Lytechinus pictus: one gene and its partner. Each later gene encodes a partner of the first gene's protein in a complex. Links are inferred from orthologs where the notes say so. Each region holds a gene or a part of one and is shown in the gene's direction. Other genes may lie near its edges.

Evidence for each region. Proteins that work in one complex are often made in the same cells at the same time.
Region 2: the proteins of NADH-ubiquinone oxidoreductase subunit 8-like (region 1) and NADH dehydrogenase [ubiquinone] 1 alpha subcomplex subunit 12-like are in contact, whole or in part, in a cryo-EM structure (PDB 8ESZ), measured with the Drosophila melanogaster proteins. The link is inferred for Lytechinus pictus from reciprocal best matches to the Drosophila melanogaster genes ND-23 and ND-B17.2. Residues at the interface, in NP_524719.1 of Drosophila melanogaster: Glu85, Pro86, Ala87, Thr88, Ile89, Asn90, Pro92, Phe93, Glu94, Lys95, Gly96, Pro97, Leu98, Ser99, Pro100, Phe102, Arg110, Tyr111, Pro112, Ser113, Gly114, Glu136, Thr148, Arg149, Pro176, Asn177, Phe178, Glu179, Phe180, Ser181; in NP_001137770.1 of Drosophila melanogaster: Arg32, Asn33, Asp34, Asp35, Lys37, Phe58, Tyr59, Gly60, Arg61, Arg63, Trp64, Ile65, Phe67, Tyr75, Asp76, Gly77, Ser78, Ile80, Pro81, Ala82, Glu83, Tyr85, Gly86, Met88, His89, Tyr90, Lys91, Thr92, Cys101, Arg102.

Annotation. Positions count from the first base shown.
Region 1 is NC_087246.1:7,381,049-7,389,466, reverse strand, and holds the start of NADH-ubiquinone oxidoreductase subunit 8-like, read left to right. Parts: upstream 1-5,091; 5' UTR 5,092-5,384; coding exon 5,385-5,424; exon of another isoform or gene 5,425-5,637; intron 5,638-8,418. UniProt on the Drosophila melanogaster protein: Core subunit of the mitochondrial membrane respiratory chain NADH dehydrogenase (Complex I) that is believed to belong to the minimal assembly required for catalysis. Complex I functions in the transfer of electrons from NADH to the respiratory chain.
Region 2 is NC_087247.1:36,285,876-36,294,077, reverse strand, and holds the start of NADH dehydrogenase [ubiquinone] 1 alpha subcomplex subunit 12-like, read left to right. Parts: upstream 1-4,790; 5' UTR 4,791-5,304; coding exon 5,305-5,387; intron 5,388-7,103; coding exon 7,104-7,186; intron 7,187-8,202.

The DNA of each region.
Region 1 (8,418 bases):
TTAAAAATGAAATCGATAGAGTAGAAATGTCGGAAATGAAGTTGTATCCCATTTACACTACAGGATTTAGGGCTAGATATTTTAGAAGTAGAAATCTCGGGGGCGAAAGTTTTAGGTTTTTTGGCGGTATGTGTAGATGAATGAAATAGAATCCCTGGCTTCGTGGAGGGTAAGCATACGTTAGTAAATGATTTTACTCTAGAAGCCTCCTGGCTAAGACACGTGGGGCCAACAGAGTTCAGCGGAACAACCAATAAAAGAGAGTCCAAAGCTTTTGGTCTAGATCAAATCCATGTTTTCTGGGACAATCCCAATTTTTGGACCGGCACCTCTACTGGTGGTTGGTGGATAAAGATATGATTAACTTGTTCCAGTGTTGAGAAACGGGCCGGGGCCCAGAATACCACCCCAGCACATCATGACGGGGCCGGTTACAGGCGGGGTACTACCGGTACGGCCGGTGTAGCGGCGGATTTGGTTCCACCGGCAGATACCGTATCCGCCGGCAGATATCGTTCTAAATGGCCGATATCGTGTTTAAATCGGAACCATATCCGCCGGGTTTGACGTGGCTTGATGTTTGCAGATTTGGTTCCTCCGCGGATTTGGTTCTATTGACTATACGTTTACTATTGATTTGGACAGACAACCTCGGAACCTCCTGCAGAACACTCTGTATTTTTTGTTCAAATGAGTGGGTCAAAACTTAAGCATACATATTAAGTCAATTCCAATTGTATTTTCCACCTGTCCATTGTCTTGTCAACCATTTTTTTTGTTGTAAATTAGAAGTTATTTGGTTGCCATGGCAATAGCTTGAAATGGAATTTATACATTTAGCAACCAAAATATCTTTGTTTAGCACTGTAAAATTAGGTGATATTAAAGATAAATCATATTCTACGTTTTATTAATCAAATATTTTTCTGGGGAAAAACAAGCCGTTTCTATGGCAACAGACCAATTAGAACTACCTTGGTGATCTTGAATATTTCTAAATTTCATATGTACTCAACTGGGAGCCTGAAAATGTTAATTTTGGTCATCTATATCATGTTTATTTACCATTTACATGAGAATGTATGTTATTTTGGAGAAATTAATCTGTTACCATGGCAACGGCCGAAAATGGCATTTATAAATTTACCTCCCATCTTTAAAATAAATCTTTACGGCATATACTAATACTCGTGAAAGTTTCATGCTTTAGTCATAATTTTCACTATTGTTCGGCTTATCCGCTCTACTATATAGGCCTATAGGTTTTTGAAACTACAAATTTCAACAAGTTAAATCTTCATATTTCAAAATAAATGATGCAAATTAGTGTATGAAAATATGTTTTGCTGTTAGCTCATATTATTGCTTGTAGAATGCTAATTTTTGGTGAAAACATAAATTTGATATTTCTAACAAACATAAAAAACAGAATGTCAAAATGTGATCAATTTCTTATGTAGTTTATTGTAAGGTAAGCCTATTTTTAATTTTTCATGTATTTAAAAAAAATATTCCTTTTTTTTTTCAATGTTTTAATGAATTAATTAAAGGGGACCGGAAGTTCACATTACAAAAGTTGGATACGCCACGAACTGTTTGGTGCTCCCTAATTTACCTCTCAGTCATCTAATTTTAAGATCAATATGGGATCTTAAGACAGTGAAATATAATTTCTCCTTTATCTTTTGTTTCTCACTATACCCCCTCCTGGTTTTCATTTCTTTATTTTTTTGCCTTTCTTTCTGTCCCTGCTCATTTCGCCCCCTTTTGCCTCTTTTCCAGTTCCGTAACCTTTGTGGCATATTATGAATATATCTGGGGCGTATAAGCGGGGGTAATATAGCACCACAAAGGAGAAATAGAAGAGGAAGGGGAGGGAGAGAAAATAGAAAAATATACGAGAAAATGTGGAGGAAATAATAGTAATACATTGGAATTTCGTAAATCAAGAATTTCATTTGCAGTGATCATTATTTATACTTCCCTTTAGAAAGCTTATTACAAAATACTGATTTTAATTATCGAAACTGCCATTGTTTACCTTTATTTAATACTCTGTATTAATCATATTAATTGATGCATATTGTGCCCAATTTATCCCTAAAATTGTGATAAGGATTTTTCATACTGCAATAAATTAATAGGTATAAAATAAATTAACAAATGCATGTTATTCGATTACAAGCATTATTATCATATCTTGGGGTAAATTCTTATACTACTAGTAGTGCAGCAGACATTGACAGTTGAATGAAGACTAAATGTGGACTATTTAAAGACCAAAACCAGACCCCAAAATTTAATTGACAAATCAAAAGCTATTAAACTAAAAACAGAAATGCAAGTTTTATGCAGTCATCGCATACAGCTGAATATTTTGCCTCAAAAATATACTTTCTTGTAAATGCTTTCACCGGCCTCGCACCGAGACCGTGACAACATCATCATGTAGTGTTAGAAGTGGTGCAATTCTATAGAAAATGGGTTATTTTCAGATTACACATTTAATTTTTTCTCTCCTATCACATAGAGATAACATTAACATAAATATCTTTTTCTGCAAGCTTTGATTGATGAAATCTACCGCTTTTGACAAGTTTTCATGTGACGTATGTGAATGAAGGATATCGCGATAGCGCAAGAACGATATCTTCCGAAGAAAGTGGTAGGATGGGGGTCGGGTGTCCGGACACTAGGCTTGGGCATCAGAGCCGAGTAATCGAGTCTACCCGATTCTTGTCACCAGAGTCGAGGAGTCGACCCCCATTCTTTCAAGGCCCATTACTCGAGCCCGAGGGATCCACCCTACAAGAGAACCGATTCTGTTTTACAACAGCACATAAATGCCCTGCTGAAGGGAATTCCCGACTTAGTTTACAATTGCAAGCTAAAATCATTTTATGGAAATCTAATATACAAGTTAGTTTAGTGTGTAGTTGTGCCAGACCATGGCTCTCTAGACCTATTAGTGTCATATAGGGGCTGTGCAAGCAGACTAATCCAAACAGAACATGTCTGGCTTCTCTTATCTACTGACCACATAATTGCCCCCTCGAGATCACTTTCAAGGTTTCAAGAACAAACAAGAAACCCAAAAGTTTGGTTTGAAAAAGAGAAGAGAGAGAGGAGTAGGCTATATATAGAAAGAGGGAGGGAGAGAGAGTGAGAGGGGATATCTTGCTTGCACCAAGGAGATATCACTATCTCCTTGCTTGCACACAGTAGCTCCATTCACTTTGTCTTTATGGACATGAAAAGAGCTCTGCATGTATCTCATAATTCACTAGTGTGTTAAGTGATTGTGGAGTCGACTCCTCTCGGAACCGAAGCCTTGGGTGATGGGTCAGAGCCGGAGTCGGTTCTTCTGGGAAAGGTGGGAACCGCCCAAGGCCAAGCCTACCGGACACTTTATTATACTCATTTTAATTTACTATTTAGTTTATAATTATATTTTTTAAGCCTTCTTTTTCATCTTTGAATTACACTAATATATAGTCTTTATAGATTCATTATATATAGTCTTTATAGATTCATTAGTTTTATTCCATCTTCTAATATTTGCTCTCTATATTTCCTAACATTTTGTACTAAAAATTGATGAAAATTCGCTTGTAAATTTTTCCAAATGACTTTCTAAAATTGATCGTCCGGACACACAACCTGTCCGGACACACAACAACTGGGTATACTGAATCCGCCGGAGTAGAACACGATCCGCCGGCGGATTTGCATTGCCATTGGTGCCTAGAACAGTATCTGCCAGGCGCAGGATCCGCCGGTATACCGGGCCGGGAGTGCAACCCGACCCCTCGCCGCACAGAGGGCCGGGGCGAAACAAAAGTGCGCCAAAAGTCATTTTGGGCAATTTCAGATTTTCCATTTTTGTCATGCCCAGCTGAAAGACAACACTTTGAAGAATACTTCAGCAAAATATTTCATTCGGGAATTTGCATAAAGGATGTTAATTTCCTACCTCAAATCGTAAAATGTGACATTTAGCGAAATGCCGCGTAAATGACAACTTAGTTGGAAAACAAGCCATTTCACAGGAAGCTTTTCATGTAGGAATCTGAAATGGCACCCACATAATCCTGATATATTCTTTTTTTATGTGAAAGGGTTCAAAGTAGATAAAAGACACATTTCAGGAGGTTTATAGGATAATTATTCCTCGAAATTGGCTGATAATCCATGTTTTTTGCATTTACATTAGAAACGTTTAGATTTCCGTAGATTTCCGTTTAAATTCTATCATCATCATTTTGCCAGATGTCTAAGCTTTAAGTCGATACCAAATTTAGCTGCCCGTTTTTGCCCGTTTTCATGTTAGAGCCGATTTTACTTGACACAACACCCCCAAAACCTGTTAAAAAACGGGTATTTTTATACCGCGCAGCCATCGCAGCGCACCGTGTGGAGTGTACATTGCCGTTCATTTTTGCACGGCGAGGACGATTCCCCTTCTATTCCATGAAAATGACATGAATTCCGGGCATAATGTAAACAAAATGAAGGTTGATAACTCATATTTTACTTACCACCCGCCTCTCTTCCAGAGATAAAAGTTACTTGTAGAATAATTTCACCCAAAAACCGCCTCATAGTAAAACATTCGTGGTGTATATACTCTGCGTTTTACCCAAGTCTACCCGCTTGATAAAGCACGGTTCATATTTTTCATATTTTCAAGTATTTTTTTAATCTAATGATCATTTTGATGCCATAAAATTATTTTCAGGATCTCATACACACTTTTTTGGCAAGTGAGAAGCATAAACCGACATTCACTCTGGTCAATCTTAAAGTTACACATAACACAAAAGTTTATATATTATAGGCCTAGGCCTAGTAGTAGTACACATTGTTTAGCGTAATTTGTCTTTTCACAGATAGGTTTTAAGTAGCCAATCAAAGTTTGGTATCAAAGTGACGTCATATCGGATTTAAATTATGTTCAGTCGATTCTACGCCCAAAATTACCCTAAATCAACATGTTAAAGTAAAAATATAACACGGAATATAATTTTGGCGCACTTTCAACTCCTTCTGGCCCACTGTGCGCCGTGACCGTGCTGCAGCTGTTGCCTTGTTAATTGGAGGGGCTTGACAGGCGAGGTGGCGCTTGCTGGAGTGAGTGGTGGACTAGACTAATCATTTACGTCGAAATACAAGTAGGCCTATTCTAACGGCCCTACTACCGAAATTAAGAATGATTAAATGCATTAAACCATGACAGATATATGAAGATTCCATATTTTCACACTTACATAGTTACATTTACAGAACTTTATACACTCACCTAACGTTAGAAAAGCAAAGCCAGCGACCAGCGACATGTGCGCGCCATCTGCGTCTGATCTCGGAGAATAATTGGTCTAGAAAAAATGGCGACTTTTCGACTGGTTTCTCAAATTTCAAGAACGGGTAAGTTTGTTTACCATGTTTGCAGCAAGCAATATTGTGATAGTAGAAATAGAGAAATTGATGAATTATATTTTCATAAAAGACGTGTCAAGGTCCCCAGGGCAAAGTGTCAGTGAGCTTTGACTTGAGTGAAGCTAGAGGTTGTCTACCCGGTAGTATATAGTATTATATAATATGGTCTAGGCCTAGTCCCATGTGATTATTTTTGTGGATGTGTATGAATCTATGATGGGGGGTCCGGACAGCCCGACCCGTAGACCAAAAGCTTCAGTCTCTGTATTTTGGTTGTTCCGCTGAACTACGTTGGCTCCACTCACCATACATAGACTGAAGGGGATGGGGCCCCGTACCTACAGCCAACGTATATAGTGAACTAGCGTTTTATAGATCGCGATTTAAAACTGTTTTTTAAGCAAAATTGAAAGTTTCATGGTTTCCATTATCAGGGAAATATAAATAAATTAAGTAATTGCATACCTTGGGCCGGAGTTATTGAAAAAAATCCTCTGGATGATTGAGAAATCTGTCATCTAAGACATTTTCACCTGACCTGACGGTTTTTCTTGCAAGTTGCCATCTTGAATGACGTCATTATCGTTATTAACTTAATGTCTCGAATCGATATATCGCGATTATAACTAGTACTAGTACTAGTATAACTAGTATCGTTTATCTTCGGTTTCGTTCGCATATGGAGCAGATCGTATAATATCGAAAGCAATATCGATATCACATTCGTGATTGTTGACGTTCGTTTGTAAATATTTTATAGTTTGGCTGCCATTTTGACCATTTTTATCGTGTTCAACCCAATTAAACATCGGTAAAGTATATTTTTCATGCATTTTTCATCTATATCGTTTAAAGTATTTAAATGTTGGAATATAAATAATTAAAAGTTTGTTGTTTATACATCCTTAGATTGTAAATTCGATGTGTAAAATTACATCAAACTTTGGACTGTGAATTGACAAAAGGGAGGGAATGAGAACACATGCGAGCCCACACGTACACCCTACTGTCGGTAAATGGGGATTACAGTAAAATGTCAGAAATTGTTGAATAAATCCCCAGAAACGACGGTTATTCCTGTCTACCCGACCCGCTGCCCTGGAGGCTGGACAAGTCAACTCGTCCCGGTCGAGTTGTCCAGGGTTTGCTCTGAATTGGACAACTCGACCACTTGAATTCTTCTTCAATATTTCATGAAATAAAATTTAGGCATGCCAAAATTTCAAACTTTAAATATTCAATTTTCCCGCATGATCCATGTTTCTAAATACTATTAGTAAATTCTAATTTCTACAAATAGGCCTACAATGAATATATTATTATACGGTACATTCTCGACAGAAAATTGACATTTCAGTGCATTTTGAGCTATTTTGAAATAAATTAAAGCGAGTTCCCTTGCACTGAAATGTCAAATTTTCTGTCGAGAATGTATTGTAGAAACATGGATTATGCGGGAAAATACTTTTGAAGTAAAGTTTGAAATTTTTGGCAGTGTATTTCTAACTAGTGTGGGTCGCGCGTGTTGGGATCCCACTACTGGTGTCCACAACACACAACTTCTATGGCTTGATTTATCTGTGCGCAGCGGCATGTAAATGTAATGAACCCTTCACCCTTGACCGAGTGGGCGCCGGTAATCTCAAATTCCATGACGATCGACTAGTGTGCGTGCTCGGCAAAAAACGTGTCATAAAAAAAGAAGTGTGACCTTAATTTGCGCAGGATCGTTTTGCAAAGCTTTAGAAAATAAATCAAGCAGACAACGGTTTGTTAACCCCCTAATGGTGGCTGCACGATAGCGAGCCGTCTGTGTACGAGGAGAAATTTTTAAATAAATTAAAAATGTTAAAAAAACTCCTCGAAACAGACCGCTGCCAGCTGTCTAGGATAGAGGTTAAAATGCCATAAATTAGGTTTGTACAACATTTCATTTGACTTACTTATTTGGAGACCTCTGCTTGCAAACTGGCGATTTCTTGAAGCTTGTCGAGAAGTTCAGATTTTCTTGAAGCGGGCGCACAAGGTCAAAAAAATTGCGGATGTTTTGCGAATATTTTCACAAATTTAGACCATACCTTCAAGAAATTTGCCATACTAAGTAATTTTGGGTCGCTTTTTCTGTTTGTGATAGGCCCTATCAATTTTTCTAGATATTGAGATATTCGACCGTGCGCAAAATTAGGTAACGCTTTGCGCTCGCATTATTAATGTAGAAAAATTTCCAATTACTCATCCTCATGATTTACAAAACATGAATAGAGTGTCCAGAATTTTTCCGCTCGCACTCGCATCAATTGTTTAGTTACATACTTATCCTTTTCACGATTACAAAAAGTGCTTAGAACTTCCATTCTTCAGGTAGAAATGTCAAAATTTTCAGCTCGCGCTTCGCGCTTGCATTATTTGATAGTTAAAATATGTACCGTCTTCATGGCTAACAAGCAGCCGTTAACAGATCCTTTTTTATCAGATCAAAACGTATATTAAAAATAAATTTTTGAAAATTCTGCTCGCGTTTTGCGCTCGCATTATTACTGTATGAAGATTTCCAATTACTCATCCTTTTCATGATTTAAAAAATATGAATAGAGTGTCCCATTTTTAGGTTTAAATCTCGAATTTTTCAGCTCGCGCTTCGCACTCACATCAATTTAGTTATATACCTATCGTTTTCCATTCTTCAGGTAAAAATGTCAAAATTTTCAGCTCGCGCTTCGCGCTCGCATTATTTGAAAGTTGAAATAATTATGTAACGTCTTCATGGGTAACAAGCTGCCGTTAGCAGATCCTTTTTTATCAGATCAAAACGTACATTACAAATTTATGCTCGCGCTTCGCGTTCGCAGCAATTATTTAGTTGGATACACATCTCGTTCAGGATCATAAACATTGCCCAAGTTGTTTAAATTTTAAGATAAAATAAACAAAAAGCTCGCACTTTTTAAACAAGGCTTATGATATTATATGAATATATATATA
Region 2 (8,202 bases), on another chromosome or scaffold:
GGTACATTTTTATTATACAGAGACATGAATTTTTGTAAGAACCTTTTAAACGATATGTTCACATCATTTTCTTTAAGAACTTCACTCCAGTCAGTTTCTATCAAGGCTGCCCGCAGCTTTGCGATATTAGCGGAAGTGTTTTTCCGAATTGATTTGGGTTCTTGTTTACAGACTCTATCCAAGTTTAGATGAGCGAAGATTGGGAAATGATCTGAAATATCTGATACAATAATCCCTGAGGATGGAAAAGGTTGTCTATTATAGAAAATGTTATCTATGAGCGTAGATGAAGCTTCAGTTACCCTTGTTGGTTTAATAATTAATGGCATTAAGGAAAAGGACAGCATATCATATTAAGAAACGCATCATAATGATAATTTTCATCACACTGAAGGAGGTTTATGTTATAATCGCCCATTATGAAAATTGTTTTGTTTACGAAAAGTGGGTTTGAAAGAATACTATGCATTTCGTTCACAAAACTCTCTAAGTTACTCTGAGGGGGTCTATACACAACTCCAAATAAAACATTTCTTTTTCCTGGAATGAAGCACTCTGCGAATATTGATTCCATATGCTCAGTCATCATATTTAGCTCATCCCTTAATTGAAAGTCCACTGAATCTGGAATATATAAAGCAACTCCACCTCCTTTTTTAGCATATCTATGATTAGACACAAGATTATGACCAGGAATATGATAAAGATTTAAGTCATTCTCACTCGAGAACCAGGTCTCAGTGACTCCAATCACTGTTTTACTATCTTCATATAGGGTTTACACCGGGAGCAAGTCCGTCTAGCGTTGGCCTTTTCAACTTCAATTTTCAATTCAATTCAATTCTACACACTAAGAAATGTTTGAACCCAAAATGAAACACTTGTACCAACCTTGTGGGGTGTAATCTTGCACCCTAAGAGGCAACAGGTGTAAAAATACACCTTTTTATCATTATATGCACCAAGAAATACTCGCTCGCACCCTAATAGGTGCAAATATGAACCTGTTAGGGTGCATAATACTTGACATTAAAAAAGGTTCAAATTTGAACCTTTATTACATGGTTCAATATTTCGCACCCTATAGAGTGCTTAACGTAGCTAAATGCACCTTCAAATGAGCATAATTGCACTCATTAGCACCCCTTTGGGTGCAGCTATTGTACCAACCCGGAGGGCTCAAATTTGATCCCCTAATTCTTAGTGTGTATATATATTTCATTTCCATTCAAAACATAATACAAAATAATATAAATCAGATACAATTGTAAAGATGAACATTCTTACTTCGTAAAAACCAGTATAAAATTGAGCATAAATGGAAATAAGGGGGGGTCCACTAAAAGCAAAGCTTGCAAAGTGTGGATCCCCCAAAATATTGTCGACTTATTCATAATTATATACAGGAAAGAAAAAAGAGAAGGAACAAATAGGTCGAAATCAGATTGATGTAACATAATTATGTTTAATTACTGATCAAATGCAAAGGTATTCACACAAAGAGGTCTCCGCTATGAAGGATTGCGCATTGGACAGAAGAAAAGAAGAAAGAGAGAACGAATGACATAGAAGACAAGACAAAACAAGAGACATGACAGGACACGACAAGAACATAGAATGGGGAAGGGCTGACCACAGACCAGCTTGATCTAGTGAAATAACAAAAAGATGATATAACTGGCATTACTGGACAGTATATATAAGAGAAAAAAGATTAAACAATAAGAATGAAAAACGAAAGGATGATAATCAACGTAATGAAGTGTTAGTTCCGTTGCGAAGAATTATAGGAATGAAGCAGGATAAGTTGAGTTTACGTTTGAATGCATTTAAAGAGATGATCATTACCCCCCCCCCTCCAAAAAAAAAGCTAAGATTTGCTAGGGCTAGGCTAAACTATATCAACATTTATTATTTGCATGAAAAACAATAAAATCAAGTACCGTGAGAATTTAGTGACATTATTTACCATTCGACTGATAAAAAATGAGGCCTTTATGATTGTCCCGGGATGATTGTACATATGGGACCGGGGGCAGTCCTGTACGTATACCGCGTTATAAACTTCAGAATACATATTTGCCGATTTTAGCGTCTTCCTATCTCAGTGATAAATTATAAAAGATAATAATGGAGATAAGAACTTATTCAGAATAAAAAAGAAAATGGGGGGAATGAGGGAAAAGAGAAGAGGAAAGATAACAGAGGAAGACTGTTGTAGATAAGTGAATAAAATAAAGTTAGAAGACTTAATTGGAAAAAAAAATTTCATGACACTATTATTATGACTATATGAAATTTCGCTCGCGCTTCACGCTTGCATTAATTGTTAAAATATATTAACCCATGCAGGCATATCCTATTCATAATTACAAAATTGCTTAAAACGTCAAATTTTGGCTCTCATTAGTCTTATATATAACTGACATTTTTAAATTGTAGAATGGAATATCGACAAGTTTCATCTCTCGCCTAGAAAGAGCTCATAGGAAGATATAGTCATCATATTCATATTATGACAAAATGTCCTTAGGATGTCCCCCCCCCCTTGGGTTCCCGGTCCTACAGGCAGCGGCGTAACAGGGGTCGGTGGCCAGGGGGGGCATGAGCCAAACATTTCCCGGTCATATCATGGTATACACTAGCGTACCTACGGGGGGGGGGGGCAGAGGGGGCACTCTGCCCCCCCTGACGAGCCACAACCCATACAAAAGACATATGCCCCCTTGACGAGCTTAAAAGACCTTTTTTGCCCCCCCTGACGAACTTGAAGACCTTTAATGCCCCCCCTGAAGAGCCTGAAGAAATTTTTTTTTTTTTTTTTTGCTTGTCACATTATTTTCTGGTACGAAAACCAAAAAATTTTTTTTGAAGACCTTCTTTTTTTTTTTTTTTTTTTGCTTGTCAATTTTTTGGGCGGCCGATTTTACCTCCCCTGTGGAAAATCCTAGGTACGCCACTGATGGTATATGAACAGGCGCAATGGTGTAATGAGGCTATGAGACTATTTTGAGAAGGCCAGATATTGCGTATCGGGCAGAATTTATCTTTAAAAACAGTTGCGAGCGAGCAAAGCGAGCGAGCAAAAATTTGGACCTTTTTAATACAAAAATTCAATTTTGTGATAGATTTTGACATGATATCCAGAAAATAATATATTTCACTCTTCCCTCTTTAGATTCCTTTTTTGTGGTCTGTACGCCACTGTGAACAGGATTCTTTGTGGAAGTAGCGTGAAGAGTAAAAAAAGAAAAAAAAAAAACAGGGGAGCAGTATAGCACATGTGCTAAAAAGTTGCTTCATATAAGTCCCGAGCGAGCGAAGCGAGTGAGAAAAAAAATCACCTTTTCATGAGAATCTAACTTTGAGCTATTTTTGACATTATATTCAGTAAATAAAATCATATCCTTCACTTTTCCTTTGCTTTTTTTTTAATTATTCTTGTTTGTAGAACTTTTGGGGGCCATGGCCTAACCCTTCCATACGCAGTGCTGTGCGGTTGGGGTCTGGGCGGAGCTCCCGGAACTTCTTGATATCAAAGCCATTTAAACCTCGCAGATTGCCGCTATTTTAATCAAATCGCGGTCATATACAGAAGCTTTTACACAACACATTTATTCAACCCGGTCGCATAATGAACCAAATATTTTTAAGGGGCAAAACATAGCAATGTGGGAAAATTTGTAAAAAAAAGTCGCCAGCATGCAAAGCGGGCTGGAAAAAAAATTACCAATTGAAATTAAATTCTAATTATGTGATAGCTTTTTCCATTATATTCAGCAAATAACGCATTTCATTGTTTCCATTCATTTCATTATACGTTGTCTCCTACAATTTCTTTAATTTTCTCTTGGGTGTGGAACCAAGACCCCCCCCCCCCCCCCGCTTGTATGCCAGTGATTGATTGTGATTGAACGGGGGGGGGCGTTATAGAGCCATTTGAAGGTTATAAATGAAGAGCCCCTACTGCGTGGGGTCTGGGGCAAAGCCCCGGTAGCTTATTTGCATAAAATTTAGCAAGCTTATAGCACAATGTTGTATGCAGTCCATCTTTTTTCCCGCTCTTTATTTTCAATCATCGGCAGCCCGGTCGTGTTATTATTTGTTTTCCTTGTCCCTTTTCTTTTCCAATTTAGCTTTTGACTAACCCTCTCTAACTTCGTTTCCCGCTATTGGTTGCCATTTTGTCATCTTTTAATTCATTTCCCACCGTGCTATTGCATTACATAGGCCTATTTCGGAATGATTTGTTCTTTCTCAAATGTTCTTCTTTCGTACATTTTCCCGCTTTCCTTCCTTTTCCATTAACAAAAATAGTTTTTTCTTCGTTTTCTTTTGTTATGTTATGTTATGTTATGTTATACCGAGGTTGTTTTACCTGACTGCTAAGAAAGCACGAATGCCTGTGAGCAAGCAACCAGGGGACCAATGGCTTAAGGTCCTCTCCGAGGGACCTGGTAATGAGGATAAATGCCTTACCAAAGGGCACTAGCGCACCACTTGGGAATCGAACCCGGGCCACCGGAATCCCTTTCCCTTTCCTTTTCCTCCTTTCCTTTTCCCCTTTCCGTCCCCTTTCCCTTTCTTTCTCCCTCCTTTTTTTTCTTTTTCCCGTTTTTCTTTTATTTTCCCGGTGAAATCCGCCAGGGGGGCAACTTGCCCCCCCTGCCCCCCCCCCCCCCCCGCCTGTTACGCCACTGCCTATATACAGGTAAAAAATATATATCAGCTCGTGCTCCCATCATTTTACGTGCGGCGTTGCGGTCTGACTGGATCAGGCTAGATCAAACGTATCAAAAATTTCTGCTCGCGCTACCAGTATGCATCTTGTTCAGGATCACAAACATTGCCCAGAATGTTCAAATTTCAGGACAAAATACATGGACTTCAGTTCCAAACATTTTAGCTCGCTCTCGCACTATTTAAATAGGGCTTATATGAGAATATTATTATACATCTATGTTGTTAATTTTTTTTTATATATATAGCTAAGAATAAGATAGACTTAAGCGGCCGATTTGGGGAAAATTTAGGTGAAAAAAAATCGCCCCCTCCCCCTTTGTGAAAGCTGGATCCGCCCAATTGATCTCCGATAATAGACTCTCCAAGGTTAAGGAGAAGAAGGGGGCCGCGGGGGGGGGGGTGGATCCCAGGAATACCAGCATGCACACAACGAGTGCCGGAAATTTATCTCCTGTGCAATTACAATGACTGTATGACAAAATCGTGATAATCTCATTGGATGTGCGTATGATATAGGTTGCATGAAAGTGGTTTGTCCGCGACACGTTGTTATTCTGAATTATGGCGTCGACAATACGTGGGAGGTTCTTCCAAACTATCAAAGAATGTGGTGGTATAAGGGGATCATTCTGGAAATTACTGAGGTAAATTATTTCTTAAATGCTTTTTATGATGTAGCCGGTGTACAGTTTTATTCCTTTTTATATGATAAGTTATATTGATGGGTGTTGTTTGCCAAACTCGCTAAAACTATGATTCTGAATCTTCTTGGACAGTCCCGTCTATTGAATATTCTTGTCGGGTGCTAACCCAGGGAGCCCAGGGGCTTACCGTGTATTTTACCATACTCACGGGACTAGGGTGATTTATGGTCTAAATATTTCTCCAAATGAATTGTGAAAACAGAAATTATGCACTTACCACGATTATATGGTTGAAGGTCTAACGTTAACGAGTGGCAGTTTCCTGACATCTGGGCACAAACTGGAACCTAAAAAAACCGAAAAGTTCTCTCCTTCTAGTTCTACCCCAGTCTCGATCGACCATTTTGTTACAATTCATAACAAAAATGGCCCATCGAGACGGGGGTAGAAGGAGAGAACTTTTCGTTTTTTGAGGTTCCAGTCTGTGCCCACCCAAGGGTTCATTACATGCCGCCGCGCACAAAAAATTCAAGCCATAGAAGTCGTGTGTTGTGGACCCAAGAAGTGAGATCCCAGCACGCGCGACCCACTAGTTAGAAATCCACTGCCAAATGCGGTTCGTGGTGCGAGGTTAGTATACTAATACTAACCTCGTAATACGTGTGAGTGGTCTGTGCCCAGATGTCAGGAAACTGCCACTCGTTAGACCTTCATCCATATAATCGTGGTAAGTGCATAATTTCTGTTTTCACAATTCATTTGGAGAAATATTTAGACCATAATTCACCCTAGTCCCTTGAGTATGGTAAAATACACGGTAAGCCCCTGGGCTCCCTGGGTTAGTCGGGTGCATGTTGATGACGGGTCCTGTACTGTAGCTGTCTAACTTGTTAGTACTTAGAGTATAATGCCCGGCTGAATGATGCATGCATGGGTTGCCAAACATTAAAAAAAATAATCATCAGGGTAAAATTCTATACCAAAATATTCATATGTTAAACAAATAAATTCAAACAATAGTTGGCTACCATACCACTGCACTTGGCCGCAAGATCGCGATTGCGATCATACGACTACGTAGACCTAAGTTGTCTTCTAACAAGTTAGACTTAGGCCTAGTTGGTTTTTTTTAAGTAAGAATGTGTCAATTGACACCTGACTGAATTAGAAGATCTATCTAACAGAATGATCTAATTCAACTTCCCCAGTATCGCATATCTCGATCTCAAAATTTAATTCTATGCTGATCAAGAAGTGTAGGCCTAATGCTGTGCTGGAAAACTACTCTGTAGTCTACACAGTAGTCTACAGCAATGTCTGACAGTGCTGGGTTTAATACACTCACACTACTGGCGTCCACAACACACGACGTCTATGGCTTGATTTTTCTGCAGCGGCATGTAATGAACCCTTGAGTGGGTTTATTAACAACACTGACTGGGGTCATCTTTTCCTTGCAATAAAAAAGAACCATTTGAGGGAACATCTCCAGTCGTGATGATCTCATTAGATAGGGTCTACTCTTAAGGGTAAAAGTCACAGTCACAGATAATTTGACAATTTTAAAAGATGTGTGTGATATATATGGTGGGAGCAGAAATTTCAACTGCTTGCAATCAAGAATCCATCTACAGTTATCCCTGATTGTATTCAGATCAATTTATTCTTGCTTCGACTCAACCAATATATTTTTCTCTGCTGTTTAAAAACCATTAGGGGAGAAGATCTTAAGATTGGTGCTCTTGTTGGTGAGGACAAATATGGCAACAAGTACTACGAGAATGACAAGTTCTTCTTAGGTAAGGATGGCAAGCATATATTGTGCTCTGAAGCATATTCATTGATCACATTATGGTTGTAAAATTAATTACTGATTTGAGGGTTACTGTCTATTTTCTGATGGTTGCTTGGAAGGAGTTGATTAGGCTTATTCCTCTTTACATGTTGATGTCCACCCTGATATGAAGTTGGTGTTTATAAAAATAGGAAAATGAGATGAACATATGATTGAAGATTTAATGAAAATCCTGAAAAAATAATTGTAGTTTAAAAGTATTTTTTTTACATCACATAATGATGTGAGCAGCTCTTCCAAATTTCATGAAATATGAATTTCACAAAGTGCAATTTTCGCAGAAACTTTTTAATCATTTAACCTGTGCATTTAATCAGGCACATTCTTTTATCCATAATTTATCATTGACCATCCACACAATAGCACTTGATAGAAATTGCGTCAGTGGCATACCGTACCTGGGAACTGTTTTAATGTGATATCAAACAATTAATCAAAAAATTATCAGAAATTATCTACTTGTTGCTGGATTTCCCTAAACCTCCATAAATCTTCATAAATGGTTCCCTGATTGTTCCTGCATTTTATCAAAACCAACTTCATGTAGATGTTAGAGTTGAATAAACCTTCCTTACAGATTACGTAATTACTCACAGTGGATTATTAAGATTTTGTTTTAGCCATTACTTTTGGTGAAATTCCTTTTTTTTTTACTTCCTACCTTCTGATTCTTGATAACTATAATTATAAAAAGCAATGTTCAAGTATTTTCCTTTTTGTCTTGCCTGAACGAAGTACGGCAGAGACCAAGTAATCACTCTTCCTGTTTTTATGCCCCCGCAGACGAAGTCCAGAGGTGGCATTAAGCGTTGCCCCTGTCCGTCCGTCCGTCCCCCCACTTGGTTTCCACGCAATAACTCGAAAAAATTTAATGGATTTAAATTTTTTTTGGGTGTGTAGATAGATGACGCAAAAATACAGGCTAATTCGAATTCGGAGTCCGCAGGTCAAAGTTGACAG